Linked DNA regions of Struthio camelus. The protein of the gene in region 3 purifies or fractionates together with the protein of the main gene of each other region. This does not show direct contact. Links are inferred from orthologs where the notes say so. Each region holds a gene or a part of one and is shown on either strand. Other genes may lie near its edges. The genes, in order: OSBPL8, PRRC2C, CSNK2A2 and GRAMD1B.

Region 1 (7,573 bases), on a different chromosome or scaffold from region 3:
TCCCCCCCGCCCCGCAATAAGAAAAGTCTAAAAAAGCACATTAGATAAACATTTCGCTAAAAAAAAATTTGCTATTCTCTTCCTGCCCAATCCCAGCTGCTTTTGTAATTATAACCAAGAACTGCATTTCAACTTTTTTAAATAAAATCTTCTCAAGGTGAGAACAAAAGCTGCAATTTTCTTTGAGATGTGTGAAGCTGCAACTTCTCGGAAGAGTAAGTACGGAACAGCTCTACAGAAGATAGGAAGTTGTTGATATATTTCATATTAATGTTTTCAGTCAAGATTTCTAGTACATTTCTGATTTTTTTCCAATTTTCAGAGACTAATTAGCTGTCTGTGCCTACAGATGTTGCAAAAAGTTATGCTATATGCTCCAGAGAAAAAGGAAAAAGGGCAGAAGGCTCCCTCACCAGGACTGCAGAACTCTCACTTTACTGTAGAATCTGCTGTTCCTTTTAGCCTTTTGCTCTGTTACACCTTACCAGTGGAGCGCCATGTGGTATGTGTTACCACTAGATAATCAGATAACACTTACCAAGATTACAGTGAATAATCCTCTAGTGACTCTGCAAGTATATTATCTCAGAATAATGCAAATTTTCTTATCATTGCTTGTTTGCATTCCTATACCATCTATGGGCCCTAATCATACCTCATCAGCCCACAAAGCTATGTGCAACCACAAAACAAAAAGCTGTGCCCTTTTGTTGTTCAACTTAAACTCTAAACTACCTTATCATGTTTTCTGAACACACAGCAGAGAATACATGAATTTAGGGATCAACTGTGAGATGCTGGCCTGTCACGAGCTCCCACACTCCTGTTGCAGGATGTTCATGCCTAGCACTCCCACTTCAGCAACAATCTTGCTCACTCTTTCGCTGCTCCTTTTCCAAGAGCTGATCCAGGAAGAAGCAGCTGTAGGTAACTGAGGTGAAGGTGTTTACTTATTTCAATATATTATTACAAATTTTATCCTGCACAGACTAGATGACCTCAAAGGTCATGTCCACCTTTAAATTGCGTGTATCTCTGCTATTTTAAAGAAAAGCATATGCCCTACAGAAAGACATGCTTCAAAGATAGAACTGACCTCCTACCCTTTTATAGAGCCGTTTCCACCTCTACTGCCGCATATACGTTAAGAGACATTGGTAACTGAGGCTTTCCTACAGGAAAAGGAGCAAAAGGAGCTCTTTTTTTCCTTGCTGAGGACCTCTCTTGGTTTTATACAGTCACAAGCATGTTTCCTACAGATCTGTTAAAAAGACACATACAACACAAGCAAACACTTTCCCTAGTGAATGTACCTGTGGTGCCTGTTACATGTTTCTTCTGCCTGACAATCCTAATGGGTGAGGTATAAACTCATACCTATATATTCATATATACATACCTATACATGTACATATCTACATACCGATACCCATTCATACCTACTACATACTCATATGTCTACTATTCAGTAGCACTCTGGCTCCTCAAATCATTTTTCCCCCTGCTATAAGAGGAATCATTTACAAAATTTCTCTGTTACATATTCCAGGTTTGCACCACCTATGCAAATGTATACTAGCTTTTATTTGACTCATTATAAGCCACGTTAACAGAGGCCTATGACTCTCCATAAATTGTTACTGCTGTCTTGGTGCGCGTTATGAGCCTTCCCCTTCTATCACAAATCCAAATACAAGAACTCTGTAGTGCTAAGAAAGCACTCTAAGGCATAAGGAATAGAAGTTTACTAGTGCCCTGCAGGAAAATGAAAAAAGCATAGCATGGAAAAGGGATCAAGCACAGTATAGCTTCATAGAATGCCACTAAGTGATCCAATTCCTGCTGCCAGCAACTGCCTGGCATCATATTCCTTGTACATCTAAAATTGTGACCTATCCATGAGCGTTTAGCACAGCTTTAAGAACTTCCACTTTTTTTTTTTTTGAGCTCTCAAAATATTAAAGTGCAAAATATAGTGTATTTGAAAAGAGCTTTAAAAGAACTGCTACCTGTCATAAGGCAAGACATGAACTGAATACACGAACAGAACTGCTGCTTCCCAAGGCTAGACTCAATCCATTCGATAGACCACAAATGACCTTAAGAATTACAGCTCTACAGTGAAAAAGCCCTAGTGTCTAACTCTTGTCAGAGTGAATTATCTCATTCCAGGGCTCTCCTTTGGGGACAACTATTGCTTAATTATAGAAAGCTTTATAAAAAGAGATTTTGAATCCTTTCTTTCAAATAATGAAAACAAAATTGTTCTCTGCAACATTTTATACCTAACTGTTGAGAAGAAAAAGGAATCTTCTGTACTCAGGAATATATACATATATATTTCTATAGAAACATTAAAAAGTATTGAGGAAATTATACTCAGTCTTTTAATTAAATCGTATTATTCAAGGAACAGAATGAAAAGATTGTGAGTGGAATATTAGCCCAAGATAATGGACTCCTAGTGACACTGCTACATAATTGAGGTAGAGCAGATAATACTATGAAATATAGATTGAGCTAGAAGGTTTTTTTTGAGATTTGGATATATTAATCGTTTGACTGCTTTTTTGCGTCATTACTTAGCAGGTCAACGCTCAAGGTGCCACATATTTTCTGAATGCACTGACAGTAGTTCCCCTCAGAATAAGCAGAAAGAGAAGATGCTTAGCCTCTTCAGAAGTTCCTCAGCCTTTTACAACTGTTTTCAGTTGTGTCACCTGGCAGATGACGAAAACCTGAGGTACGTATTCATTTTATTTTAAATATGATGACATGATACGGAAGCTGCTCATTGTCATTTTATACTACCAGTAACATTTTAAAACGTGCTCTGGATTTTTTGAAAAAAAAATCCAAAATGGTGTTCTTCCTGGCATAATAATTGGAGATCATCCCACTTGTAGAATTATGGCTTTTATTCAGAGAACACTTTACTTCCATTGTTACTAGGTTTTTTCACTGCCTAAATTATTTTAAAACACACTTAATGATTATTACAATGCTTTAATGCTATTTATCACTGAACTGTTTCCAGCATTCAGTATAAGTTATAGTTTCTACTTGAAGGAGTGGTGCTCCTTGAATGAAAGCTGCTTATAAAAACAAGCAAACAAACAAACAAACCCTAACATCATGAACTTCAGCAGCTCCCTCCCAGCTAGGCCTCCCTCCAATTATCCCACTAAACATCTTGGTTCTGCCTTTCAGATTATATTGTGCTTTTTGTTGTTGTTGTGGTTTTGGAACGATCTTTGCATCCTCTTTCCTACCTCAGTCCATCAGTGTTTCCCAGCTTTAAAACAATTATGCTTCCCACAGCTTCCCTGACAGTAGCTTTCTTCTTTTAGTCCCACATTGGTACCATCCAAGACCCACCCAGTCTTAACATAAAACATGTGGTTGGCCTAAGATTATTTCTGTCTTACGTTTCCAGGCGTTCTTAAAGCCATCACCCTGAACGATGGTAGGATCTCCTGCAGTTCGTAAAAGGGGCAGGTTCAGAGTCTCCTATCTCCTCCTCTAGGTCCTGCCTCTATGGATGAAGGTGGATGAAAAACTGACCTCGTCCTGCGGAAGGTATGGAGACACCAAAGTCAGCCTGATATACAGGACTTCTCTCCCTCAAAACTGCTTCAGAGGATTTTCTTTGTGCTGGGAGAAAACAGGAAACAGAAAGGGGCTCAGGCTCCCAGTTCCAGCTTCTAGACCACTGTATCTGAACTGACAAAAGCTATGTCGGAGGCAGAATACTGATAACTGTCCGGCCCCTCACTCGGATTTTACTGACTACAGCAAGTAGGTCTGCCAGCACCTCCAGCCGTCGCACAGATACGAATACTCAAGGCTCACAGCTTAGCCAAGGACAGCGCACGACCCTCAGCAAGGCCACTCTGCGGTTTTATGAAGTCCCTTTTGTTCTCTCAGGACAAACGCGATGAAAGAATTGCGCACTAGCTGGGAGAGGTACAGGGAAAGCAACCCCACCCCGCCTGTGGCCCAGCCCTGCCCGCTCGGCCACAGACCCACCCCGGGAAGCTACGTGCGCCCAGGGGCGAGGTAACGGGCAGGGCGAGGGGGCGGGGCGGCGGGGGGGCGAGGTAACGGGCAGGGCGAGGGGGCGGGGCGGCGGGGGGGCGAGGTAACGGGCAGGGCGAGGGGGCGGGGCGGCGGGGGGCGAGGTAACGGGCAGGGCGAGGGGGCGGGGCGGCGGGGGGCGAGGTAACGGGCAGGGCGAGGGGGCGGGGCGGCGGGGGGGCGAGGTAACGGGCAGGGCGAGGGGGCGGGGCGGCGGGGGGCGAGGTAACGGACAGGGCGAGGGGGCGGGGCGGCGGGGGGCGAGGTAACGGGCAGGGCGAGGGGGCGGGGCGGCGGGGGGGAGCGAGCTAACGGGCAGGGTCAGGGGGCGGGGCGGCGGCGGGGGGACGGTCCGCGCCGCGGGCAGGCGAAGCCGCGGCGCGCGAGGCGCTCGCGACCCCCCAGCGGCGGGGGCGGTGCACATGCTGGCGAGGCACGTGACGGGGCGGCGCGCGCCTGCGCCCGGCGGGCTCCTGGAGGCGGCGCTGCGGCCGATGAGAGAATCAAGCGGCGACGGGGCGGGAGAGCCTGCGCGTGCGCCAACCAGCGAGCGAGCGAGCGAGCGAGCGAGCGAGGTCGGGCGCCGCGGGCGGAGCGCGGCGGCGGCGGCGGCGGCGAGGGGAGCGCTCCCGGCCGGCAGCGGCCTCCGCCAGGCGCCGCGCCTCCCCGCCGGCACCGAGGTGAGAGCCCAGCTGCGGGGCTGCGTCCTCATCCCCATCTGGGGGCGCCTCCGCGTCTCGCCCGGGACAGCGGCGCGGCGCGGCGGGAGGGCAGCGGCGGCTCTCAGTAGCCCGGAGCCCCGCGGGGCGGCGGGGCTGCTGTCATCCGTACCGCTGCTGGCGGTGCGGGGCGGGGCGGCGCGTCGCGGCGGGGCGCCGCTGTGGCGGCCGTGCCCCGCTTCTGGAGCGCGCTGGGAGCCGCTCGGTGTCTGGCGTAGGGCTTCGGGTCCGCCCGCCTTCGGTTTGCCTGCTTGAAGTCGGGACCGGTGGCGTGCCGAAAGCCAAAAGCGGTGATTTAGCGTGCCCGCTGTCATCGCGCTGCCAAGGCGTAGCGGCGTTTCAAAACTTCCTTTTAGTTCGGGCCGGTCCCGCTTTGTAGTCAAGGCGTTCATCGTGCTTGAGGACATTTAAGCCTACTTCATGACAGACATTGTGTTAATTACTGCCCTTGCCCCTTCAACCCCCAAGGGTCCACAAAGCACAACTTGAAAGCTGTTAAGTACCAAGTGCAGTTAAAAATTCGCTCCTTTGATTGTGAGTAATCTTCTTCCACTCGCACTGCGAAAATAATCTCGTTGGGCAGTGCCCTGGGGAACAGAGCCTAAATCCTTGTTATTGTAACTGGTGCCTTACTGCTGCCAGCCGTTCTTCTGTGTCTTTTATGAGCAGGCCTTATAGATGGCTCGCTTCCAAACAGAGCGCCCTCAAAAGTTGCCTAGCCACATTTTGTTCAACATACTCGATGTCAATTCCTATAAGCCGCAAACGTTTGCTTGAAATATAGTCTTCCTAAATCATATTTGTTAGAGATGCTGTGTAGAACTCAGTGTCTCAAAGGACCAGGAAAACCATTAATCCATGTGTGTGATTGAAGATGTTTCTAATGTGAGATTTTGCTGCTTGTCCGTTTTGGGTCTGAGAACAGGAAGTCTTTTAAAGCTTATTTTTCATCTGGAAGTTTTCTTAGTGTTAGTTATTTCAATTTAATCGCGGGAAATATAGTAGAAATCAGTGCTTGATGCATTAAATATTATGCAGTTGAGTCCCTGCTGATGCTTATTTAATGTCTACCTAATTTTCACAGTTTTGGAAAGACAGGAGTTGAGCAAAAGTTGTTCTTCCATAGCAAACGTTATGAGCAGTAGCAGATGTCTCTTGTCTTTATCACCTCTGTTCTTCAGTTAGTGGATGTTTAGTGTTGATATCCTTAACTACTGGTCTTATGGGGGGGAAATCATATGATTTCGGTTGACAGATGCTTAGTATCTTAGAAAGGAACTTTTTAGAATTCCCCACAAGCTTCTTAGGATGTTTATTGTTTCAGCCATGCGCTGACTTTTATCAAAACTCCTAACCTTTGAAATAATCTGTTCTGTGAACTTACTACCATGTAGCCATACTTTCCACATGCTAATTAACAGCATTAACTGTTTGTTTCAAATACTGAAATTCTCTAAGATGACAGAGATATGTGGTTGGAGTCGCTAGTCTTGCCTTTGCTGTAACTTTTCTGTTATTGTAGAGTTGTGAAGCTGCTGTAAATAAAGGGAGTTGTTCAGACTGATATAACTTAGATCTAGAAGTGAATTGATCTCTCTCTCTTTTTCCTACTTCGATCATGGATCAGGGAAAGAGCTCCTTCTAAACACGCATTCCTGTCAAATTAAAAACTGACACTTCAGAAAAAGTCTATCCAGGTCATATTTCTGCCCACAACTCTTGAAGGACACACGGACTTCTAGGGTACTTGAAACTCTGGATTAAGTGTCATAAATGTATAAGCTTGTTAGCCTTCACAATATGAAGTAGAATTTCCTGACGTTGCGGGAAAAAATGATGAACTTTTGCGTTTCTTATTCATTGTTGCATAAAGGATTCCTGGCACCTTTTTTGTCTTTGTTTTGACATGGCAAAGTAGGTTTTGACTTCCTTGAGAAGATGATGTTGCTTCTACCTGACGTCAGGCTGAGCAACAGAGGGAAGGATTTGAAAAGTTCTGTGTCATAAGTTCTGCTTAGCTATTGGGTCAGTAGATGTATTTCAAGGGCATACTCTAACTCCTGTTTACTTTAGTGGGAATTGAATCAGGAAAAGAAGTCAGACTGATGTGCTCCTATTCTTTCATTACTTCATATTGTCATTTTGCAGAGCTAAAGGGAATTAAAATGCTAAAATCAATGGGAAAAGACTTTGGGAAATAAAGTTTACTGATGATTGCTCTATATCGAATTACTTGCAATAAACCTTTTAGTGGCTATAAATGCTCTGGTGAAATCGTCAAGAAGGCTCTTAGGGGATACAGTGCTTATAAATGTACTGTTTATCTTTTGTCTGCTCATATGTTCTCAAAGAAATGCTTGTACGACTTCCTAGTATAAGAAACTATGCATATTTTATATTCTGTGAAGTGGTATTCCATCTCTGTCTCTTTACAATAAATTTTTGTGCAGATCACTTCAGACAAGGTTCAGTAAACTGCCAAATCAGTTATTTGGCTTTTATCTCTTCAATGATGACTGTTACACCACCCACCCCTCCCACCCCCACCTGACTTTGTTTTGTGAAGCTTGAAGGAGAGTCTTAGGATTTATTCTCCCCGCTCCCTCCCCATGCCATGGATTTCTTTCATTTTTAGGCTGCCTGTCAAAAATGTTATCTCACGTTAGACTCTTTGGCTACTGTTTCCAAACAAAATAGACTTATATTTAGAAAATACATGCCATCATGTAGCTGAAACTTCCCCATGTGACTAAGCAGAATTTTTTTGTTTTCTTTTT
Region 2 (7,235 bases), on a different chromosome or scaffold from region 3:
CAACCGAAAACATCGACGTGGTGCTCTTCGCCACGGGATACGCATTCTCATTTCCCTTCCTGGAAGACTCTGTTCGCAGCCTCTTCAAACATAGCTGTTCCCTCTATAAATGCATCTTCCCTCCGCAGCTGGAAAAACCCACGCTGGCCTTCATCGGCTTAGTACAACTGACAGGCTCTGTGATGGTGGGAGCAGAAATGCAGGCTCGCTGGGTGACGGGAATCTTTGCCGGTAGGAGCCGGCGTGCCCGGACAAGGGGAGCTGGTGCAAGGGAGGTCGAGCACAGCCTGGCCGGCTCTCTGCAAGGCCCAGGCCGCGTCGGGCAGAGCACTTTCCATCTTTTGATGGAGCTGTGCATTTTGGGGCTGTCAGCACTAAGAATGCGTTAGCCTCTGGCCCCCACGGACCACAGTTTCTTTTTTCTTCTCAGGCTCCAACAAGCTGCCTCCCGTCAGCAGGATGATGGCAGATATTTCAAAGAAGGAGAAGCAGCTGGTCAAAAGGTGAGTGCTGCTCCCATGCTCTGGGCATGCTGCACCAGCCAGGACAACACGGGTGAAGGCGGTCCCCATAGTGGTTATGTCACAGACCTATCCAGGGCGTCTAATTATTCCTGAATGCAGATACTCCCACAACACCCATAGTGAGATGGGGAGATGCTGTCACCCCCTTCAATAGGTGACAACCCAAGACACCAAGGACATATCTCCCCTGGTTGAGCAGTGCAGAGCTGCTCCGTTTCTGCTGAAGCGTTCCCACTGACCCATGCCTTTCCCGGGCTCCGGTCCAGGTACAGCAGGAGCACCCCGGGCTAGAGCTTCCAACGGCCAGGGCACCCTTTCCACCGTGCTGTTCCCAGGCTTGCCCCAGACACCATTGACCTTCGGAGCAGCTTGCAGCAAGACCCCTGATGGATCAGGCTGGTAGTCCCCTCCATCAGGTTGCTAAGTCATGCCCTTATTTCCAGCATCTCAGGCTGGAGACTAGGTTTCCTCCAGACTACTAGTGCCATCTCGTGGTTTCTTCCTCCCAAAGCCAGGCACCGGAAGCTCTAGTGCTCCGTGCACCACCCCCTTGGAGCCGGGTAATGCAGGCTGTGGGTTGTTTGGGTGATGGTTTTTGGCAGGTCAAAATGAATAGTAGACAAGGCTCTAATGCATCCAATGCGCATATGGGAACTAAGGCCCTGCCTTGTTTGCCTTGGGATTTTACCATAAGTCCTCAAGGCTATGGGACAGATGCACTGGATGTGCTGTCTCGCAGTCACCAAGAGCTTTCTTGGCTGTCCTATCTGGAGCGAGTTGTGAGACCTCAGGGCCAGGCGGCATGCAGTCTGGGTTAGGTCTCACGATGAGGCAGAGCTGGATCATACAACCAAGGATACCAGTGAAAATCTGGGCCAAAACAGAGTCACATGGATTTTCATCAGGAGCCCCATCTACTCCAGACATGCACACTGTCCTCACATTTTGTTACATGGAAATACGGGAGTCTGAGTTGCAACGGAGATAAAGCTGTCTCAGATTTGCTGAAGTGGATTAAACACACCTCTTCTGCAGGGAAGACAAGGCCCCGGGAAGAAAGGGCTTGGATTTGTTCCGTGTCCTCACTATTTAAGGGGCTTAGCTCTAGCCTCTGGGTCAGTACTGGGACAGGGGTAGCGGAAGAGATCAGGCATCACCTACCCACGGGCTTGGTTGTTGAAACGAGCTGAAGTTCTCCGCAATTTCCTAATGAACTAATAGCAGATGAGCTGGTGACAAAGCAGACAAATGGGAGTGGGAGGCTGAGCTTTTCCAGTGCCTCTTGGCATAGGAAGCTTTCTGCATCTCTTAGCTTTCGCCGGTCCATTTGGCAGTCTTAGCTGTGAACGTAGACTGCTTCACCTCTCAAAAAGGGCCAAATTCAAGGCAGTGAATCTTGAGTAAGGACATTACACCGATATTTGTGGCATTACAATGATGGCAGCGTTGTGCGAGAACCATTCCTTAGTTCAGCCCCCTCCCTGGCTGCATTTTTCAGGGCTCAGCCACAGTCGGGTTATAGAGACAAAACAAGTTTCAGCCTATCACCTGCACCAGGGTAACTGCTAGTAACCGACCACACAAACGCTCTTTCAGTGCCTTTAGGCTTATTTATCTTACTACAGAGCATGGGCTAAGGGAGCTCCTCCCAGACCCTGGGCTCGGCTGGTGCTCGTCACTTCGTTAGTCCCCTGCAACGCGATGCCTTGTCCGAGCCCCAGGCGTTTGCCTGGGTCCCCACGGAGCTGGGGACCGAGGTGGGAAGGAGCGTGGAGCTGCCTGGCTGCATTCGGGGTGCTGGAAACGCGCTGGGACGCCGTTTGATTTTTCTTGTCTGTTTTATGTCCCAATGAAGGAATCCTGCCGAGGTGAACATGTGGATGAGTTTTATCAGCTACACAGATGAAATTGCGTCATGTGCCGGCATAAAGCCTAGCGTGCTGAGGCTGCTCCTGACGGACCCCCGGCTGGGCCTGGCAGTGTTTTTTGGCCCCTGCTCACCCTACCAGTACCGCCTGGTGGGACGGGGCCGCTGGAGCGGGGCCAGAAGCGCCATCCTGACTCAGTGGCAGCGGGCTCTGAAGCCCTTGCGAACCCGCGTCATAGATGACTCCTCCGACAGCTCCTCCAGCTTACCCTGGCTGTGTCTCCTTGCCCTGCCTGCGGTTCTCGTGGCGGGTTTCCTCTTTTCTAAATATGCCCGGCCATGGTGGATCCCCAGGGCAGGTTTCCATCTGTAGAAGAAACCCGGCAAAACATGATCTGGGGACAGTGCAGAGCTGTGCTGCTGCAAGGCGGCTTCAGTGGTGTCTGGGACTGTCACACACGCTGTCCCCAAGGGTGCCAGGATAAGGGCTGGCTCCTGGGCATGCCACCGAAACGGCGGCCACCGTCTCCTTCTGCTTCCAGGCAGACCAGGTGCACTTGCAATTTGCATTTCGCTGCACCACCTCCGGAGGTGAACTTTGCCGAGGAGAAAGCCATCTGCAACCCCCTGCTCTGTTCTCGCCCCCAAATCTGGCTGCTTTGCACAAGCATCGGGTTGGCTCTCTACAGGCCTTTTGGGGAGATCCTGAAGCGCTGGTCTGCGTGGCCAACGCATCTGTGCGGGGGCCTCGTGCCTCAACTCAAGGCAGGATCTCAGCAACAGGTCTAAGCCTGGGCCAGTATTTCTTGGCCCTCTGCTTGGCTCAAGCCCTTTCCATAAATCTTCAGCAAGGTCCACGAATCAATGAGATTTTTGAAACGCTCAATGTTTTTTTTATTTGCCTCGTGTCTTCTGGGACATGAAGGAAGGAGCTAGAAATAAACCTCACTGATTTGGACTTCTCTGATGTTTTCATTAACAAACAGCTTTATTATTGGTAGAAGGGTGGAGTTTTTTCAAGTGGACCTTATGTCATGCTTGAGGTGAGAACCCCATCTTAATAAAAAGGATATCCAACAGGGCACGTTTGGAAACAGAGACGGATACAGGCGGGCCTGTGTCCCCACCATTGCCTGAGCAGCCTCAGGGCTGCAGGCACATCTGAAGGCAAAGAGCAAAGGGAGCTAGGCAGATCCTCCCCACGCGCACACAGGGTTTTTAAACTCGGGGTATTGTTGCAAGCCCAGCTGACGACCGCTGAGTGTGCTCGGGGTGCGTTCACTGCGCTCCCGGAGCATCGCTCAGCAGGAGGCACGATGCATCCCGAACCTTCATACCCATCCCTGCCTGCGCTGCCAAACGGCTCTCCTGGGGGTTTGGAGGTTTGCACAAGGCGCCGTCGGCGGCAACGCGATCGCGTGCAGACCCCGCGTCCGCACGGGCGTCACGCTGGCGCGGCTCTCCCAGCGCGACTCAAGTAACTGCGTGCCGGCCGCGCAGACGTGCGCCCGGCCTGGTCCCACCCGGGAAGGGAGGCAGCGAGGGCGGGCGCAGCGTCAGAGCACCCACGCCAGCAGGGTTGGCAGGGTGCAAGGCGCTAACAGCAGCTCTGCCGACGGGGCTGGCGGCACCCGTGCTGGCGCGGGGTGCACGGCGCTGCCCAGCGCCCACCGCAGGCAGCGGCGCCGGGGCCGCTCCGCCGGGCGCCGCCAGGGGGCGCCGCGCGCGCCGCCGGCCCGCGCCGCCCCGACTGCGGCACCGCGGGGCCACGTGAGCGGCGCGGGGCGGGGCGGCGCTGGCGGGCGCGCGCGCGCTCGCACGGCGCGGTGAGGTCAGACGTCGTTGGCGCCGGCTTGGCCGCCCGCCATCTTGGCCCCAGTGTGGAAGCGGCTGAGGCGCGGCGTCGCGGCGCCGGGAGCGGCAGCGGCAGCGGCAGCGGCCTCGCCGAGTCCGGGAGCGGGGGAGGCCGGAGCGCCGGCCCGCCGCGCCGCTGCGCCAGGTGAGCGGCGGCGCCGCCGCCTAACCGCTGAGGCCGGCCGGCTGGGCGCAACGCACCGGCGCCGGGAGCGGCGGGCGAGCGGCCTGCGCCGCATGGCCCCAGGCGGGGGCGGCTTCCGCCGGGCTCCGGCCTGGCGGCGGGTGCAGCCCCGGGCCCGGCGGCGGCGGGAGGCGCCCGGGAGCCCGCGGCCCCCTGCCCTCGCGGCCCGGCGGAGGGGGGCGCTGGGCCCGCCGTGGCGGGAGGGCGGGCCGGGCTGCCCCGCGCCGCTGGGCCGCGCCGCATCGCCGCCCGCCGCCGCGCCCTGGGGCCGGCCGCGCCCGGCGGCGGCGGGCGGGCGCTGCCGGGGTGGGGGCGGCGCGCGGAGCGGGCCTGTCGGGGCGCTGCTTTCTTCCCGCTCCCGCCTCGCCTTTCTCTTCGCGCGGCTTCGGGTCTCTTCTTTCTCTCTAGGGAGGCTTCTCGAGAAACGTGCCGTCCCCTGCGTGCGTTTGCGCGTAGTTTGCAGCTGTGATTCTCGCTCCAAAAACTCTTTTTTTGGGGGGAGGGGGGGAAGAGGAGGGAGGCTTTTCTTAAGGGATGCTGGATGCACAAGCAGGACGCTGCGTCTTGGTTTTCTAACTCTGCAGTACTCATCCACAGTTCTTGAGATGTATGGTTAAGGCTGTTCCTGGATTATTTGATGCAGGACTGAGTAAAGCTCCTTTCACGGAGGTGTTGTTATTTCTCCTTGCAGAGACAAGGTTTGGAGAAGTGGAGTAAGCACAGCCAGGAGTGTTCTTACAGATACTGTTTAAACCATAGCGTGACCAAGGTTAGATGACATGGCTAAAAATCGCACCGCCAGTCTGCAGTAGGTATTATGGGAACCATCGCCTGGGGATGCAGCGATTGAAAATCTTGGAGCCAAAGATGGTCCAACTAGTTTCCCACACGGGTTGTTTCTGTGGGCCGGGGGGGCCTGAGCAGTATGCATGAGGAAATGGTGTGGGGAGTTGTCTGGAACACTTCATGTTTTCTGTGTTTCTTTCCTTTTGTCTCTCAGCCATATGTTTTGAAAGCATGTCCCTTTGTGAAAGCTTTTCTGCTCCTCCTCATTGAGTAGAAAACTGTTCTTCCTTGTTGCTTTTTAATGACTGGAGTCGAGTGGTACACTAGTAAAAGTAAGCGTTATTTCAGGCAGGTGGAACTTTTTTTTTTTCTTTGTAGCTTTTTCTCTTGTATGGTGGGACATCAGGCCTACTAGATGTCAGGTCCTCAGAGCACTGCCAAGACAAGAAGTTACTTTTGAAGGGAGGAGGAAATGGGATGTGATCTCATTTGTGCATCAGTGAGAAACAAAAGGATTGTCTTTTAATACTGGTTACCAGGAGCTAAAGGGGTCTCAATTTTCTTTGATCATATAGTGGAGAGAATATTTCTTCAAGATTGATTTTGGGGTGTTTTAATGCAGCTGTCGTACAGTGGTCTCCTTGCGACTAAGGAATTGGGAAGGTTTGAGATTTCTTTGAAGCTGGTGTATGTTCAATAAAAAGATGGTTTGTCCTCAGCAATGTGTTCTGATCGAGTTCAGTGAGTGAAGAGTATGACCACTTAGCTTATGTGAGGTGACCACTTGAGATGGCCATTTGAGCTGAAGCAAGAATTGATATAGGCCTCTGCTGGTGTGTGGAGACTAGGGTAATGACTTGTGTGGCTTTGAGTCTGTCACTTGGAACACTGCCTTAGTAGATTTGTGTTTTCTACATCAAGAAAGTATCACTTTTATAAGCTATTACTTACCGAATGTGTATAAACCAATACACAGTCATTTCTATGAGCCTTGCTAATATCACTGTAGTTATGTATAATTTCTTTACTTTGCTTAGACTCCATAACTAGAAGCCTTGGCTTTTTGTAGAGAAGCCTTTTAAAAAAATTGTTATTTCAGTTTACATCTGTAACTTCTGTGTTGCTGAAGTCCTTGTTCAATGGTAAAGGTTTATGTCATGCATCTTCCTTAGGCACGTTTCCTCACATCTTGAAGTCTGCTAGGGAAGGTGAAACAGACCGCAAGGAACAGGCAAAAGGTGATACAGTTCAGAAGAGAGATTACTTGCAGGCTTGGTCCTGCATGAATGAGTGCTGTAGGTCAATAAAATGAAGGAACGTAAGTCAAAGAAATGGGTGCTTTGTATGGGGTTTGCTTTGGTCAGATGTCCTGGGTTACTGAAAGTACAAGTTCCGTATTCCAAAATATTTCCTGTATTAACTATGGAAGTGACATGAAAGTGGAGAGGGAATGGAAAATGTAGCATAAATGCCGTATAACGATAGCCTAGATAGGTGATTTAGATGTAGAAATAGAAAGAAAAAGGTAGTTCTTGCAGAGGGGCAAACCCTTGCATAGTATGTTGGAGAGGTGGGTGAAGAAGAAATATTCCTCCACGGTCCCCCTGTTGAAGGGAAGAGGGGAACATCTCTGAAGGCTGTATACATTAATGGAGGGTTTGCGGAAAAAACTCCGCCCTGAAAGTGCACCACGTTTCCACTAGTTGGGGATGGATGTTGGACTTGTAATGACGGGACTGCCAGTGGCGTTTTACTGGTAGAACCAGTTGTTCATCTCCTGTAGCAAATTTTTTCTTCGCTCAGCTTCTTGCCCTTGTGGGGTTTTTTTCCTTTTTTTTTCAGGCTCTGGTTTCACAAAACCCCATAGAAATGTCCCATGGATGAAGGCAGGTGCAAAAAGAAGAGATGAAATTTGTGTGAGGAGGTGGGAGGAAAAAATATATGTGTTTGTGAAATGAAAATGGAATTAACAGAAGTCTTTTAAAAAAAAAATGCATAAAGAGCAGAGGATGGAGTCCTA
Region 3 (6,913 bases):
AATCTGTGGAGATAGGACTGGCCACGCTGACCAATCCACACGGCTCTCCTCGCCTTGTTAGCTGGAGGCTGGCACTGAGACCTGAACGCATCCAGCAAGCATGGGAGAGGTGAGGACCTTGGAGAAAGGCTGGAATTAGCAGCCCCCCACCGTGACTCACCAAGCACAAGGGAGATGAACGTGCACCTGGAACCGGGCACTGACATTCCCATGCTCAGGAGACAGCTTGAGGGGATGGCTCTTCTCATAATTTCACCTCTTACCATCCCTAACAGCAGGTTAGGGACCAGCTCCAGCTTAGATTCAGGTCCTGGGTCATTTTTGCCTAGTTGTGACCAAGGGTCCACATATGTGATGTGTCCAGCATTCCTGCTGGGCTGATTTGACTCTTACTGGTCCTACCACGTTTCCAGTTGGAAGAGTGGTCTGGAGCACCTGGGTGCTTGAGCAAACTCCCCTGTTGGCTTTGTGGAAATGAAAGACTGTGACCAGGGAAGGGATTTGGGTGAGGGGAGTGGGGCTGAGGTACCAAAAAGCTACACAGTGCTGTTGCAGGCAGCTGGGCAAGCCAACAGCACATGAACCTGGTATTAATAATGATGACGCCATAGCCTGCGTCTCCAGTTCGGCAAGTTAATCCAGGGGTTCAAATGTGAGAAAATGAAGCTATGTCAGAGCCTGAGGTGGCAGAGCACTGGAATAAACCCCTCACTTACAAAGGCAACTCCTTTTGTGCCCGAGTGGCTGAGCTGTGAAGAAAAACCTGCACTCTCATTTGGATAAAACACCGAACTGAGGAACCGTGATGCGGTCAGTGCTAAAAAAGCACCCCTCCTAAAAAAAGCCTTAGGGTGATGTTGGGGCCTGCAGACCAATTAACCTCCCTTCAGCAGCTGGAGGAGGGAGTGAAACAATGATTAGAAAGAGGCTGATGAAGCCCTAGAAGAGGATGTGGACAAATCAACATGTCTCCCGCAGTGCAGAGAGGAAAGTGGAGCCTCTAATCTATCCAGACTCTCTCCTCAGGCCAATATAATAGGAGAATCAGTTGAGAGATTTTTGTTCTGGATTTCCAAAGAGCCTTTGGAAGAGGCAATCCTGAGAAACTCTTTGGTGGTCAAGGAAAAGTAGGGATTAGAAACCGGTGGAGAGAGTTAGGAATGGAAAGGAGCAATCCCTGCTTTTTGCCTAGAAGTTAATCACCATCCGTAAGCTCCTGGACGAGGGTGTTTCAAATATCACTGAGAAAATCTCTTAAGCAGTGCCAACACAAGACTGGCAGGTGACACAGGGTTATTTCGGTCAGTTTAGTCTGGAGAAGACCAAGGACATGAGCCCTGGTCAAAGCAAGGCCCGGAACGTGGCAAAGAGTGTGCATTCCTTTTGGGGCTACAGCCCTGCTCCAAACTGCTGTCACTCGTGGAGGCCCTCCAAAACCACATGCCCTGGTTCGGGAGGGGTAGGCCTGGATACCCCTCATGCCCACATCAAAGTACAGCCAGTTGATCTTGCTGCATTTCGGGGAGATGAAGTAGCAGTGGCAGCAGGGCCTGTGAAAAGTGCTGGCGGTGGAAGGGTTGAGGGACCCCAGAGCTGGGGGGGCTGGGAATGCCCCAGGGGCTGGGGGTGCTCAGAGGCTGGGGGTCCCATGGGGGCTGGGGGTGCTGGGGGTTCTGGGGGTTCCATGGGAGCTTGGAGTGCCTGAGAGACTGGGGGGCCCGTGGGTGCTGGGGGTGCTCGGGGACTGGGGGTGCTCAGGAGTCTGGGGGTCACTGGAGGCTGAGAGTGTCCTACTGTCTGGTGCTCCCTGGGGGTTAGGGGGGCTGTAGGTGTGTGTAGCGGTGAGGGATGTGGGGTATGAGATGGTGACAGGGGCTGATAGGGTGTGATGGAGTGTGTGATGGGGCGATGGGGCTGATATGGGTGCGTGACAAGAATGTGCGACAGGGTGATGGGGTGTGTGACGGGGCATGTGACAGGGTGACAGGCCTGTGACAAGGTGTAATGGGTTGATGGGGTTGAAAGGGGACGGTGATGGGGTGACAGGGTGATGGTGCAACAGGAGTTGTGGTGGGGGACTGTGATGGGGGTGTGACAGGAGTTGAGGGGGTGAAAGGTGCTGTAACAGCAGGTCATGGGGGTGACAGTGTTTGCCTGGGACTGCTCCAGGGCTGTGGCAGGGAGTGATGGGGGTGGCAGGAGCTGAAGGGGCTCTGAAAGGAGAAGATGGGTTGACAGTGTTTGAGGGGCTGTGGCTGGGGTGTGACAGGGCGTGACAGGGCCTGATGGGTGGTGACGGGGGTACCCTAGGGGTGGGAGGCAGGAGCTGAGATGGGGGTGATGGGGTGACAGGGGCTGTGACAGGTGATAACGTGATGACCATGGGTGAGGGGGGTTGTGATGCAACCTCTCACACCAGGTGCTGTGAGAGGGTGGGGGGGGAGACGGGCTGAGGGGGGTGCCGGGGGGTGCAGGGGGTCGGGCGAGGCAGGGGACGGGGATGCGAGGGGGGTGCCGGGGGGTGCCGGGGGGTGCGGGGGGTTGGAGCGAGGCAGGGGACGGGGGATGTGAGGGGGGGGCCGGGCGGTGCCGGGGGGTGCGGGGGGTCGGGGCGAGGCAGGGGACGGGGGATGCGAGGGGGGGGCCGGGGGGTGCGGAAGTTGCGGGGGGTCGGGGCGAGGCAGGGGACGGGGGATGCGAGGGGGGGCCGGGGGGTGCGGAAGTTGCGGGGGGTCGGGGCGAGGCAGGGGACGGGGGATGCGAGGGGGGGGCCGGGGGTGCGGGGGGTGCGGGGGGTCGGGGCGAGGCAGGGGACGGGGGATGCGAGGGGGGGGCCGGGGGGTGCGGGGGGTGCGGGGGGTCGGGGCGAGGCAGGGGACGGGGATGCGGGGGGGGGCCGGGGGGTGCGGAAGTTGCGGGGGGTCGGGGCGAGGCAGGGGACGGGGGATGCGAGGGGGGGGCCGGGGGTGCGGGGGGTGCGGGGGGTCGGGGCGAGGCAGGGGACGGGGCTGCGGGGGGGGGGCTGGGGGGGGCCGGGGGGTGCGGGGGTCGGGGCGAGGCAGGGGACGGGGATGCGGGGGGGGGCCGGGGGGTGCGGGGGGGTGCGGGGGTCGGGTCGAGGCAGGGGACGGGGCTGCGGGGGGGGGCCGGGCGGTGCGGGGGGTGCGGGGGGTCGGGGCGAGGCAGGGGACGGGGGATGCGGGGGGGGGGGCCGGGCGGTGCGGGGGGGTGAGGGGGGTCGGGGCGAGGCAGGGGACGGGGCTGCGGGGGGGGGGCCGGGCGGTGCGGGGGGTGCGGGGGTCGGGGCGAGGCAGGGGACGGGGGATGCGGGGGGGGGGGCCGGGCGGTGCGGGGGGGTGCGGGGGGTCGGGGCGAGGCAGGGGACGGGGCTGCGGGGGGGGGGCCGGGCGGTGCGGGGGGGTGCGGGGGTCGGGGCGAGGCAGGGGACGGGGCTGCGGGGGGGGGCCGGGGGCAGCCCCGGGGCCTGCGATGGGCGGGTGTGACCGGGGGCTCGGCGGTCCGCGGCGGGGGCGGTGCGGGGGGGCGGCGCGGCGCGGGGCGGCCGTTGGCGCCGGGCGGCGGCCAGGGCGCGGCGCGTCCTCCGCGCCGCCGGGGGCGCTGCGCGGCGGGCGGCGCGGCGGCGGGGCGGGCGGCCGCCTCTCGCGGCGGGCGGCGCGGCGGCGGCGCGGCTGCATCGGCGCCTTTTCCGGGTTGGCTGCGCCGCGCTCGGGGCCGGCCCAGGCTGCAGCGCCGCCGCCGCCGGGCACCGGCAGCGGCCTCGGGCCTCGCCACAGCTCCGCGCGGGCCCCGCGCCCGCCCGCCTGCCCGCCCCCGGGGCCGGCCCCCGCCCTCCCGGCCTGGCCCTGCCGCCCCCCGCCGCCGCCCTCCTGCGCGCCGCGCCCCGCCTCGCCGGCCTCCCGCGCCGGCCCCGCGCCCTCCTCCTCCTCCTGCAGCCGCCGCCGCCCGGCGCCGCCATGCCCGGCCCGGCCGCCGGCAGCCGGGCGCGGGTGTACGCCGAGGTGAACAGCCTGAGGAGCCGCGAGTACTGGGACTACGAGGCGCACGTCCCGAGCTGGGGGTAAAGCGCCCCGCGGGGACCCCCCTTCCCCGGGCCGCCGCCGGCCCCCTCGCCCGGCCCGCCGGCGGCTGGGGGCGGCCGGCCGCCCCTCCGCCCTGCAGGCCCCTGCCCGAGGGGAGGCGCCCAGCCAGCTCCCCCCCCTCCCCCGCCACTTTTCGGCGTCCCCATGGGTCCTCCCCCGCGGGGAAGCGGGCGGCTGCGGGAATGGCCTGGGGGAGGGGGATCCCCCCTTCCCCCCATCCCAGCCTGGTGCCCTGTCAGTTATTTTCCTCTCCCTCTGCTCTCTTTTATTTTTTTTTGGTGCCTGCAGCAATCAGGATGACTACCAGCTGGTTCGCAAGCTTGGCCGGGGAAAGTACAGTGAGGTCTTCGAGGCCATCAACATCACCAACAACGAGAGGGTAGTTGTGAAGATCCTCAAGGTGAGCGCCTCGCGGGTGGTTGCAGGGGCTCATGGTGGCAGTGGCCCTCGTTTCATTTTTGAGCTGGGAATAAGGAGGAAAGAAGCTGTGCTAGGGCCAAAAGACTGTTAGGTCTTGTCCTGCACCCCAAAACTCTTGTTCTTTGCTTTGTGGACACTTGAGTGCTGGACTGTATTTTGGGAAAGGGATTTAGTGTCCTGTGTGCTGTAGTGATGTTTCAATGTCTCCACCCCTTCTGTGCAGAGTAGCTGGAGCCTGCTCCAGGCCGAGAGCTCCTCGGGAGGAGGAGTGCTGTGAGTCCTGACACTTGAACAGTGTTGCATGTGCTGCCTGCATTTGGTAAATCATATCTGGCAATGTCTGTCTAAAACATTGCAAGGACTGCCATGTCAACAGGAATATGAAGCCCAGGGGGGAATCTTTTTGTTAACCTTTAGACAGCTGGCGTGCGGCGTTTTCAGGGTTCAGGCCGCAGGATGCTCAGCGGTCAGGCTTTAGTAAAGCAAACAAAATCTTAGATTTGGCCCTTTGAAGGATCTGCTCCATGGAAGAGAACTTCACTGTGGTCAGGTCAAAAATACTGTGGAAACTTGAGGAGGCTGAAGCAGACCATTTGACAGTTAGCAGCATTAGTGATATGCCCTGGTGTGTTGATTGTATAGAGGTTGGGGTGTGGGGATCTTCTTGCAAAAGTAACCGGTTGCAGTTTGGAACGACTAAATGCACTGGATTAGCCTCTGTAGGGCACACCTTACTGCGTTTGATGCTGAAGCAGTGTGCTTACAGAGAGGCGTGGTAGCTGTGTTTGCAGAAGTCTGTGATGGTGGTCTGGGGGTGAGGATGGTGGGGGGGAGAATCGAAAAACAGAAACAAAAGGTGCTTTTGGCTTTGGTTTGGCTGATGCTTGTGGCTGTTGTTTGTAGAATCAGCAACGCTTCTTACTTGTTCCTGAAGAGCATGTGGGAGCTAGTTTCTGATCACAGGCATACTAAGAATTTGGGCTCATGTTGATCTGCAGTGTGCAGGGAGGGTTCAGAGCTTGGAAAGTTGTCCTTGCAGCCGCTAAGGCTAGTAACTACGTAGGATACGTGTCTCTGCTCCAGGTCATAGCCTTGAGGCTAGGAGGAGTTCGCTAGATCTGATCTGATAGTGTGGCTAGCTGGCTAGTTTTGTCTTTGCTCCTCTCCCCACTCATCCACTATTCCTGCTTTCTTGGGATCCTTCTTGGTTTCCCAGAGAACTTGTCATAGGCTGCTGGGTCACAGCTCCTAGGCAAGGCATGACTTCCTGTCAGAGGAGTAAACTGTATCCCTGCCTTGACTGTGGCTAGGTGAGCCATTAGGGAGAGCCCCTGTGGCCGAGTCCTGGCATAAAGGCAGAGCAGTGAGGCTTCTGTGTCCTTGCTGAGTTCTTCTGGCATACTGCTCAGGCTTCCCCCTCCTTTAGATGTTTTACATAAGGTGGTGTGGGTTTTCTTTGTTTGTTTGTTTTTTAGGTAGGGGCAGGCAGGAGTTTCTCTTTTGAGAGAGAGTAGTCAGAGGTAGCCAGTGTAGGGTTGTATGTTACAGCAAGATGGCTTGTGGTTAGGCTGAGGAAACTGTGCGCTTCTGTGTGCTGCTCTAGAGCCCCGATGGTCTCTCCAGGAGTGCTATGGTTGGTTGAGACTGTAGATCTTGCCCCACATAAAAAGGTGCCACTAGGCTTCAGGACTGCAGAGAAAGTCTTTGAGAAATCTTCTTCCTTGCCTGTCCCCAGCCTAAAGGGCCTGCCCTGGAGCAATGCTCCTCTCGCTGTGGCAGCTGAGCTCTGTCGTCTTTAGGGTGCCTGTCAGCACTGAACTGTGAGTCGGCTGGCAAAAGTCGTCTGCGGGAGGCTGGGTGCCCCTTCTCCTTGGGGCCCGAACGTGTTGCCGTAACACCCTACAACAGGGGACTGGATTGTCCCAGATTTGAGGTAGATGGTGTTGCTACCCGTTCCCCTGGCTTCCCCCCACTTGCATTAAAATGCAAACAGCATTCCTGCAAGTGAGCAAGGAAAAGCAGAAGTCCAGATAAATAAAGGTGAACTTTCTTCTCAGTGGAAAGTGGGTCAGTGAAAGGCAAGTTTCAGAGCATCATGTTGTATACATCATGAAAACCTGCAAAATGTGGCAATAACATCACTCTCTGATCTGTGGAAAGTGCCTCTGGTTTCCTGTAGCTAGACTCAAACTTAATTGCAAACGTAATTACGTGTATCTACAGTGGAGCCTTAACAAATAGGCCGAGTCTCTGTTTTTCTTAATTCAAGTTAGATTCTAAGAGGGTGGGAAGTGCAACCAGAAGTCATCAGGTTTTTGTGTGGTTGTGGAGGTGGGACAAAGGGAAAAATTGCTGGGTGATAGATGCTGCTGTTTAGCACAGTCACTCCTTTC
Region 4 (7,131 bases), on a different chromosome or scaffold from region 3:
AACTTAACATGTAAAGGCCAGAGCTGGATTTCAGACGTTCCGTTTGAAGGAAATGATCCACAGTTCCAAATATAACATGACCGTTCTTGCAGAAAACTGTTGGAATGAGAAAGTCACTGTAGATAAGTACTGGTTTCTCATTTAGTGTCACAAAAATACTGCAGAATTTTCATAGTAGAAAGAAAAACTTTGCCAGCTTTGGAACTTTCCAGCCAGAATTTTGTTCTGGCAGGGCTTGCTTTGTTGTAGGCATGGCAAGTTTCTCATGCAGAAACTGCCATTTTTAGCTGTGCACCTGAAAGGGAAAAATACTTAACAAGTTAAACTTCTCTTTGACACGTTGGGAAAAGTGAGTTTGAATGGGAGAATATGCCTTGGTGAATTTTGTGAAGTCTGTGTTAGCAACAGTCTCCCTGCCTGGCCAGAAAGACGGTCCCACAGCACAGGATGGCCAGATTTCGTGTGTCTGATTTTTGTTGCTCTTCTGAATAAGTTACAGTTATTTTATGTATTTGAAATAATGCTTTGAAGTCATACACTCTTTTCTTTGAGTGTTTCCATACCATCTCTAAGTCGGTATTCATCTACCAAGGATGACATGTTGCTGTCTTGTAAGCACATGAGGAAACTATTACGGAAAGGACTGCTGGAGAATCTGGACTGGCATGATTAGATGCTCTTCATCCTGAAAAGAAATGAAAATCTTTCCTGAGAGTTGTTTCCCCTTTTACTCTCTTTGCTTTATTTATCTCATAAGTCCTCTTCAAGGACCCTGGAAAGGCTAAATGTTTGAATGGGAGACAGACCAAGTTTTAAAACTAGCCAAAGTGCACCTGGTTCTTCTGCTGTGGCCATAGGTGAAGCGTTCCAGAGACCTTTTGGGTCAGACTGTAGTGTTGACAGCTCTTTGCTGCTATCGTGATTCCGTCTTAACAGGAGTAGTCCTTAAACAAGGATCTCCTGGCACAGAGGCTATTATGGACACTGTCAAATCAGTCATTGTGATTTGCACAGAAATAGCGCTTCACCATGGTTGGTGTTTTTCACTCTGTGGGTCAGGAGTTTGCACGCTCTCTCTTATTACATAACTTTTTTTTTTCCTCCTCTCTTTAAGAGTATCAGGCAGGTGGCCAGCATCCTTTGTCCAAAATAAAAATGGCCTAATAATATTTGAGCATAAGTGCTTCTTACTAATTACTGAAGTACTTGGAATTAAAGGGGTAGCCTCTATGCATGTAAATGCTGTTCCTGATGGGAAGGATTCTCAAGCTACAAGCTGAGAGAATTATTTCAGAATTTTTTGTCGACATATGTCAGGGGGAGCATCCCGTCTTCCTGTAGTGAATCCCAGCAGTGTTAAATGAAGCTGTTTTGAGTCCTTTTGATGATGAAGCAGTTGCTTTTTGTTGCCTTGGCCGTGCCAGTAAAAACTGGTAAAGGGGCCTTTTTTTTCCTTCCCAAAGGAAAAAGCAGCAAGTTCTGAATGCTGCTATTGTCTAGAGCAAGGTAGTGTGAGTGACTTACCGATTAATTGAATAATGTCTTTGAAGATTTTGAGGGTCTGTAATGTGCACTGTGTGATCTCTTCCTAAAATATGAAAGCATAAAAAATGCAGCCTTTTTGTCTCTGCTTATTTGCACTTATTTGTACAATTAAACAAGTAAATACCATCTATTTGATAAGGTTCTACAGGGAATCAGACTCATTAATACATGCAGGAAAACCTTTTTATGATAGATTCCAAAAGGCTACTAGTTTTATTTGTTGCAATAGATTAGAAGAAGATTCAAGTTCCTTTTAGTGGAAAAAGTGGTTCAGGGGAAAGTACTTTTTCTTTGTCATCTGAATGGGTGGGTGGGTGGTGTTCTCTTCTTCCCCCCCTCCTCCCCCCCCCCCCCAAAGTTAAGCAGAGCTACTCCCTTCTCCCTCAGTTGTGTCTACTTACTCTTAGTTAAGGTTTAGGAATTGTATTATGGTGTTTTGATTTCCAGGCATTCTAGGAGGAAGTTGAAATTGAATTTTCTTTGAGTTCACAGGTGGCCTGACAATGTTATGTACAGGTGGCCTCTGAATGAGAGGTGACATGATAGAAATCATGGCAACAGGTGGCTGAATAACTCAAATACTTTAACTGCAAATTCGGGTTTCTCCATATTGCAGAGGAGCAGAGAATGCACAGCTACTTATGCAAGTCTTCAGATAATAAATCTTGGATTCTGTTGTCTGTTCTGTAGATTTTTGTTTCTCAGATTTTAATTAACTGTGTTTTTGACCATCTGTTTTTGAGCTAAGTGGATGTTTGTGGAAGGCATTCTGTTTGCATGCGTCCCTGATGGATAGATACCAAGGTGACAGGAGCTCCGGAAATTAATTGAAGTGTTGGTCAAGCTATGAACTTACAGGAGGAGCAATGAGTGATAAGGACAGTACGACAAAGTAGGCTCTAGCAATTGGGAATATAAATAAAATAAAAAGAAAATTACTGACACATTTTTTTTTTCTGGCTCTTCCCCCTTGTTGCTGCTGTTACAAATCTTTTTCTTTAAAATGCTCTAGATTCCAAAGTTTTTGATGTTCAAATTTCTTGTCAAGTCTGTTTTGAAACAAAACTTTAAGGGAAACTGAACAAGATGAAACACTTTCATTTTGGTCAACAGTATTTTCTGAAAAAAGTATTTATGAATATTTATTAATGTTTCCAAAGAGTCAGCTGACTGAACAATGAAAACCAAAATTGTTCGGTGGATTCAGAGAAGGTTTTTCTGACAGCACCCTTGAAGTTCAGTCAGCTGAATTCTAGCTGCTCCCTTACAGAATTTAACTTCTGTGCCCTTTTTCACCTGAAAATGTAGCTTAACTCAGCTTGCTCTAGGAGCATTCTGTAAAACTTTGGTGGAGAGTCACTTCAACACTGTTCATTCTCCCTGATCCAGTTTTATTACTGGCATATTGCAGGTCTGGTCCTCAGACTGCCATTCCTCCCAGTGCTTGACCCTTGGTAGAGAGCCTTGTCTGCTTATTCAGTGCCTGTGAATCTTCCATGTAGTACGTGGCTTTTCTCCTGGTGTAATATCTGTCCTTTGTGTCTAATGTCTTTATGTGATGTCTTTGATTCCTGAACCTGAGACCATGTGTCATTTTGGAAGTAGCCTTGCACTCTGAGAACTTTTATCAGCTTTTCCTCAAGTGAACCTGAACTAAAAACCAGCCAGTCTCAGTTCTGGTGCCACCTGCTGCTACTGCTTTTTAGCTATTTGTCCATCTCTCTGCTGTGCCCTCTCTGTGTGCGGTCAAGGGAGACACGAGGCCTTAGCTTTGAAAGAAGGCTGGAAGTCTAGTTCTGCTTCCCCTCTTCCTCCCTGCAGGGGGGGTAGGCTGTGGGAGCAAGAAGGTGGGGCAAGGGGAAAGCCTGTCCAGTTGGCTTCTACAGAAAGTTGTTATCCCGTCTTACCCTTTTTCATTAGGTTGACATGCAGCAGCCGCATATTCTGTAATAGAAACCCTATCTCTTGGGATTAAGCGTGCAGCTGCGCTTGGAGCAGCTGCCTGTGTATGTCTTATCTGTTACAGAAAAAGAACACGTTGCTCCTCCTTCTTTCTCCTGTTTTTTATCTAGTACTGTTGCTTCCCTCCTTCTTTCTCTTTCTCTCTGACCTCCTCACAGCTCCACGTCGCTCCCTGCTTGCTTCGTCTTTGCAGAAGACCCACAGCTGAGTTTTGCAGCACAGCCCAGGAGAGCTTTTTCACTGAGCCAGCATTAGGCAAAGGACAGAAAGCAAAGGAAAACAAAGCTGAAAGTCACCAGCAGCCCTTGTCCTGATGCTGAACATATTAATCTGAGAGAGAGAGGGAGAGAGGGACCAGGTGGGGGAGGGAACTTGTTTTGCAGGGAGAGGGGAAGGACAAAAGAAACTTGAAACTGGCTCCCCTTCTGGTCTGTCAGTGTCCTGACCCCCCCCCCCCCCCCCCCCCGCCTCCCCTGGCCTGTTAAATGAAAGCACCTGAGGAACATGAGATTTCCTGCTTGAGGGGGAGGGCGAGTACTGAACTGGGTGAGGGAGGAGAAAGAGTTGTGGTTTTGTGGTGTGGTTTATGCTGAGATCAGAGAGCTAGTGTGTGTGGGGGTGGGAGCAGAAAGAGAAAGGGTATCTGATGCCAGCTGCCAATATGACAGAAGCCCTGCGGCTCCCAGCACTGCATGTCCCAGAGCAGCAGGTGGTGGAGGGTGGCCGTGCCTGGTCCAGTTCGTCTACCCCCACCCTGCGCAGGAAGCGCTTCAAGATGAGGCGGATGAAGAATGTTCAGGAGCAGAGCCTGGAGGCCAGCAGGTATCAGGATTCTCCTTCCTCCAGCAAGGAATTCCTGCAGCTCCCGTCCATTGAAATCACCCCCTCCAGTGATGAGGACACCCCCTGGTCCAACTGCTCCACACCCAGCGCCTCCCCGCGACGCAAGCGCTTCCTGCTCCGGAAGTGGCTGCGTGTGAGAGAGAAGGAGGAGTACAGTGAGAGCAGGTATGTTTTTGGCTACTCTCCCTTCCCTACTTCCAGGAAGAGCCTGCCCTAGAACAGGGGTAGGGCCTGCTGTTCACCTAGAGCTTGTGTCCTGCTTCTCCCTGGGGCCTTGTCCTCACCTGGTGGCTGGAATGGGTAAAATAGTTGATTGGACTCTTGCTGATGCCAGACCAAGTGGCCTAATGCGTATGCGCAAGCAGTAGGCATTTTGGAAATGGCACTGGTGGGATCTGTCCTTGTGTATGGTCCTCTGCATAGCTTTTAAAACTTACTCAGGGCCAATGACAAGAGCTTGTTTTGGAGTGAGGGAGACCAAATACTGCTGTGTCCTTAATGGGCGGGTGATCATAAGACTAACTTCATCAAGGTCCTGAAATCTGCAGAGACCCTTGAGAGAGAGAAGGTGACCTCTCTGCTGGGATTGCCAGGACAGGGATTGATGATGCTAAACCTTTGTCAATGTCTCTTGTTTTTATGGTGTTAATATGTATTCAATGAGACCTTGTCTGAAGACCCTCGTTGACTTGCTGACATTAAGAGAACGTGATGAGAAGAGTGAAAGACAAACTAGCCTTGTGACTGGTACACGGGTCTGCATGTCAGGATGCCTGGGTTCGATTCTTGGCTGCCTTCTGGACTTGAAAAAGTCTCTCAGTTCTTTGGCTCCACAAGATGAGGACAGATAGTTGACAAAGACCTCCAAGAGCTTGTCAGTGCAGCAAAGTTGATGCCCAGTGAGTTATTGCGTGGAAATACAAAGAAAAAGCTATACCTTATCTAACTCTGCACTTTGTAGACAGTGACTGCATCTGCACAAGGTAACTTACTCCCCTTTTAATGGGAAAATGGGACAGTCTGCCTTGCCCAAAGGCCCAAAAATACGCAAGGCATTTCAAGGGTTTGTCTGTGGGAAATTAGTGTGTTATGAATCCATATCCTAGCTTAGTGTGGGCTACCTTTTTTCTGTCGTTGCTTTGCAATGCCCATGCAACCTGATGCATGGGTTTAAGCCTGAATGTATCTACACTTGGATCAAAAAAGGACAAACGTGATATCTCTTGCTGTATCTGCACCTGGTTTACCAGGTTGTCTCACTGACTGTTGTGTCCCTTTGAGTGATGGGAGGAGAGAGCTTTTACTTCTGCAAGTACTGACTCTAGTCATGTGGTAGGTTGTCTTCCCTTATGAGTTCCCTTTTGCAAGGTCAAGCTGTCATTTTATTAAGTTTCAAGGAAGTTTCTTCAAGAAGTGCATGCATCAAGCACTAGATGTAATCACTCTTTTGGAAAGCTTTCATTGTTGAAAAACATCTCTTGACTGAGGAGTAGTACTGATTTCCATCTAGCTGTAGGGATTTAGGTGATTTAGGCTATAGCACAGAAAACATAAGGATAATGTATGAGGCATATGCATATGTTAGTGGGAGAACGGTAAAATTCAGGTCTGAAATTCAACAGAGAACGACGTTTTAACCGAAGATTTTAATTTGGGCTTATTGTTGAGTATGTGAGACGGAGGCCAAGTCGGACTACTTTCTGTGCAAATGTATAAGAAATCTTTGGTGTACGTGTACACACGATACTTCCGTGGCTTTGCTGACAGCTTTCTGCTTATTCATCGTTCTGAACGCTTTTCTGCCTTAACCTTGGTTATGTTTTCAAAGTGGTGATTGGAAAAAGCTAAAGCAGTTGATGGATTAGGTGGTATTAGCATACCAAAGTCAGCATGGCATCTCCTTTCTTCATATGTGGCAGGCTCCAAATCTATGCCTTTTGTAATGGGAAAGGTATCAGGTTTTCAAATGGAATTTTTCCCTTTCCAGTGCAGAGGAGAAAAGTGTTTTTTGTCTGCCCTTTTGTGCAGAGCCTCTGGGCTTGGAGAACGCCAAGATCGTCACTGGGCTTCCATAACTCAGCAAGAGTAGAAGAAAAAGCCACACAGAGGACACGATCTTTGTGGGGAGTTTGTCACAGCAGGAGAGATGAACCCCGAAGGATTTTGTGGCGTTAATGTGAAAGAGATGTAGCAGTTAGTGCCATAGGGTAGACCTCATTGCATCGCAAGGCCATCGTATGTGAAACACTTCTTAAAAGAGCAGGGGCAGGAAGCTGCCTTTCTGCAAAGCAGATTCATATTGTCCATCTACCTACCTCTACTTCAGACTTGGTCTTCAAGAGCACTAGCTAGCACCCCATTGCGTGGCCACATAGCTGCATGTTTGTGTGGCAGGGGTTTCTCAGCGAAGCTCGTAGTTGGGAGCGTACTGTGCATCAGCTGATCGATTCCAGCAATGCGTGTGTCGCTCTCACGCCTCTGAACAAGAATGATTGCTCCGCAACCATTAGCGTGCAGTAAGCGCATCCGAGTGGATAAATAAATACTTCTTGGATTCAAAAGGCTGGCTGTAATGCTCCAGGTCTGATGAAGACTGGCTGGCTTTTTCTATGTAGAGACTTCAGCCTACGATATGTTCTATGTAGTAGGTTAGTTTTTAACAGCCTGGATCATCTTATTGGTCGTTTACTTACTGACTGTCTAAAAGCTGTTGACTGGTAGCCTGAGCGTAAGAGAGCGGGCAAGAGAGGTGGCAGGTTAAGACTCTTGCTTGCCTAAGGC

Evidence for each region.
Region 1: the proteins of CSNK2A2 (region 3) and OSBPL8 purify together in Homo sapiens (affinity purification with mass spectrometry; 4 studies listed by BioGRID and IntAct, with this or other methods). This does not show direct contact. The link is inferred for Struthio camelus from reciprocal best matches to the Homo sapiens genes CSNK2A2 and OSBPL8.
Region 2: the proteins of CSNK2A2 (region 3) and PRRC2C purify together in Homo sapiens (affinity purification with mass spectrometry; 3 studies listed by BioGRID and IntAct, with this or other methods). This does not show direct contact. The link is inferred for Struthio camelus from reciprocal best matches to the Homo sapiens genes CSNK2A2 and PRRC2C.
Region 4: the proteins of CSNK2A2 (region 3) and GRAMD1B purify together in Homo sapiens (affinity purification with mass spectrometry; 3 studies listed by BioGRID and IntAct, with this or other methods). This does not show direct contact. The link is inferred for Struthio camelus from reciprocal best matches to the Homo sapiens genes CSNK2A2 and GRAMD1B.

Annotation. Positions count from the first base shown.
Region 1 is NC_090942.1:43,635,098-43,642,670, reverse strand, and holds the start of OSBPL8 (oxysterol-binding protein-related protein 8), read left to right. Parts: upstream 1-4,564; 5' UTR 4,565-4,571; coding exon 4,572-4,757; intron 4,758-7,573. UniProt on the Homo sapiens protein: Lipid transporter involved in lipid countertransport between the endoplasmic reticulum and the plasma membrane: specifically exchanges phosphatidylserine with phosphatidylinositol 4-phosphate (PI4P), delivering phosphatidylserine to the plasma membrane in exchange for PI4P, which is degraded by the SAC1/SACM1L phosphatase in the endoplasmic reticulum.
Region 2 is NC_090949.1:8,575,677-8,582,911, forward strand, and holds the start of PRRC2C (protein PRRC2C), read left to right. Parts: upstream 1-4,225; 5' UTR 4,226-4,390; intron 4,391-7,235. Other genes in the region: dimethylaniline monooxygenase [N-oxide-forming] 2, read left to right, coding at 1-231, 431-503, 2,380-2,764. UniProt on the Homo sapiens protein: Required for efficient formation of stress granules.
Region 3 is NC_090951.1:30,370,719-30,377,631, reverse strand, and holds the start of CSNK2A2 (casein kinase II subunit alpha'), read left to right. Parts: upstream 1-3,895; 5' UTR 3,896-3,974; coding exon 3,975-4,078; intron 4,079-4,388; coding exon 4,389-4,500; intron 4,501-6,913.
Region 4 is NC_090963.1:4,960,668-4,967,798, forward strand, and holds the start of GRAMD1B (protein Aster-B), read left to right. Parts: upstream 1-4,116; 5' UTR 4,117-4,153; coding exon 4,154-4,515; intron 4,516-5,315; exon of another isoform or gene 5,316-5,333; intron 5,334-7,131. UniProt on the Homo sapiens protein: Cholesterol transporter that mediates non-vesicular transport of cholesterol from the plasma membrane (PM) to the endoplasmic reticulum (ER).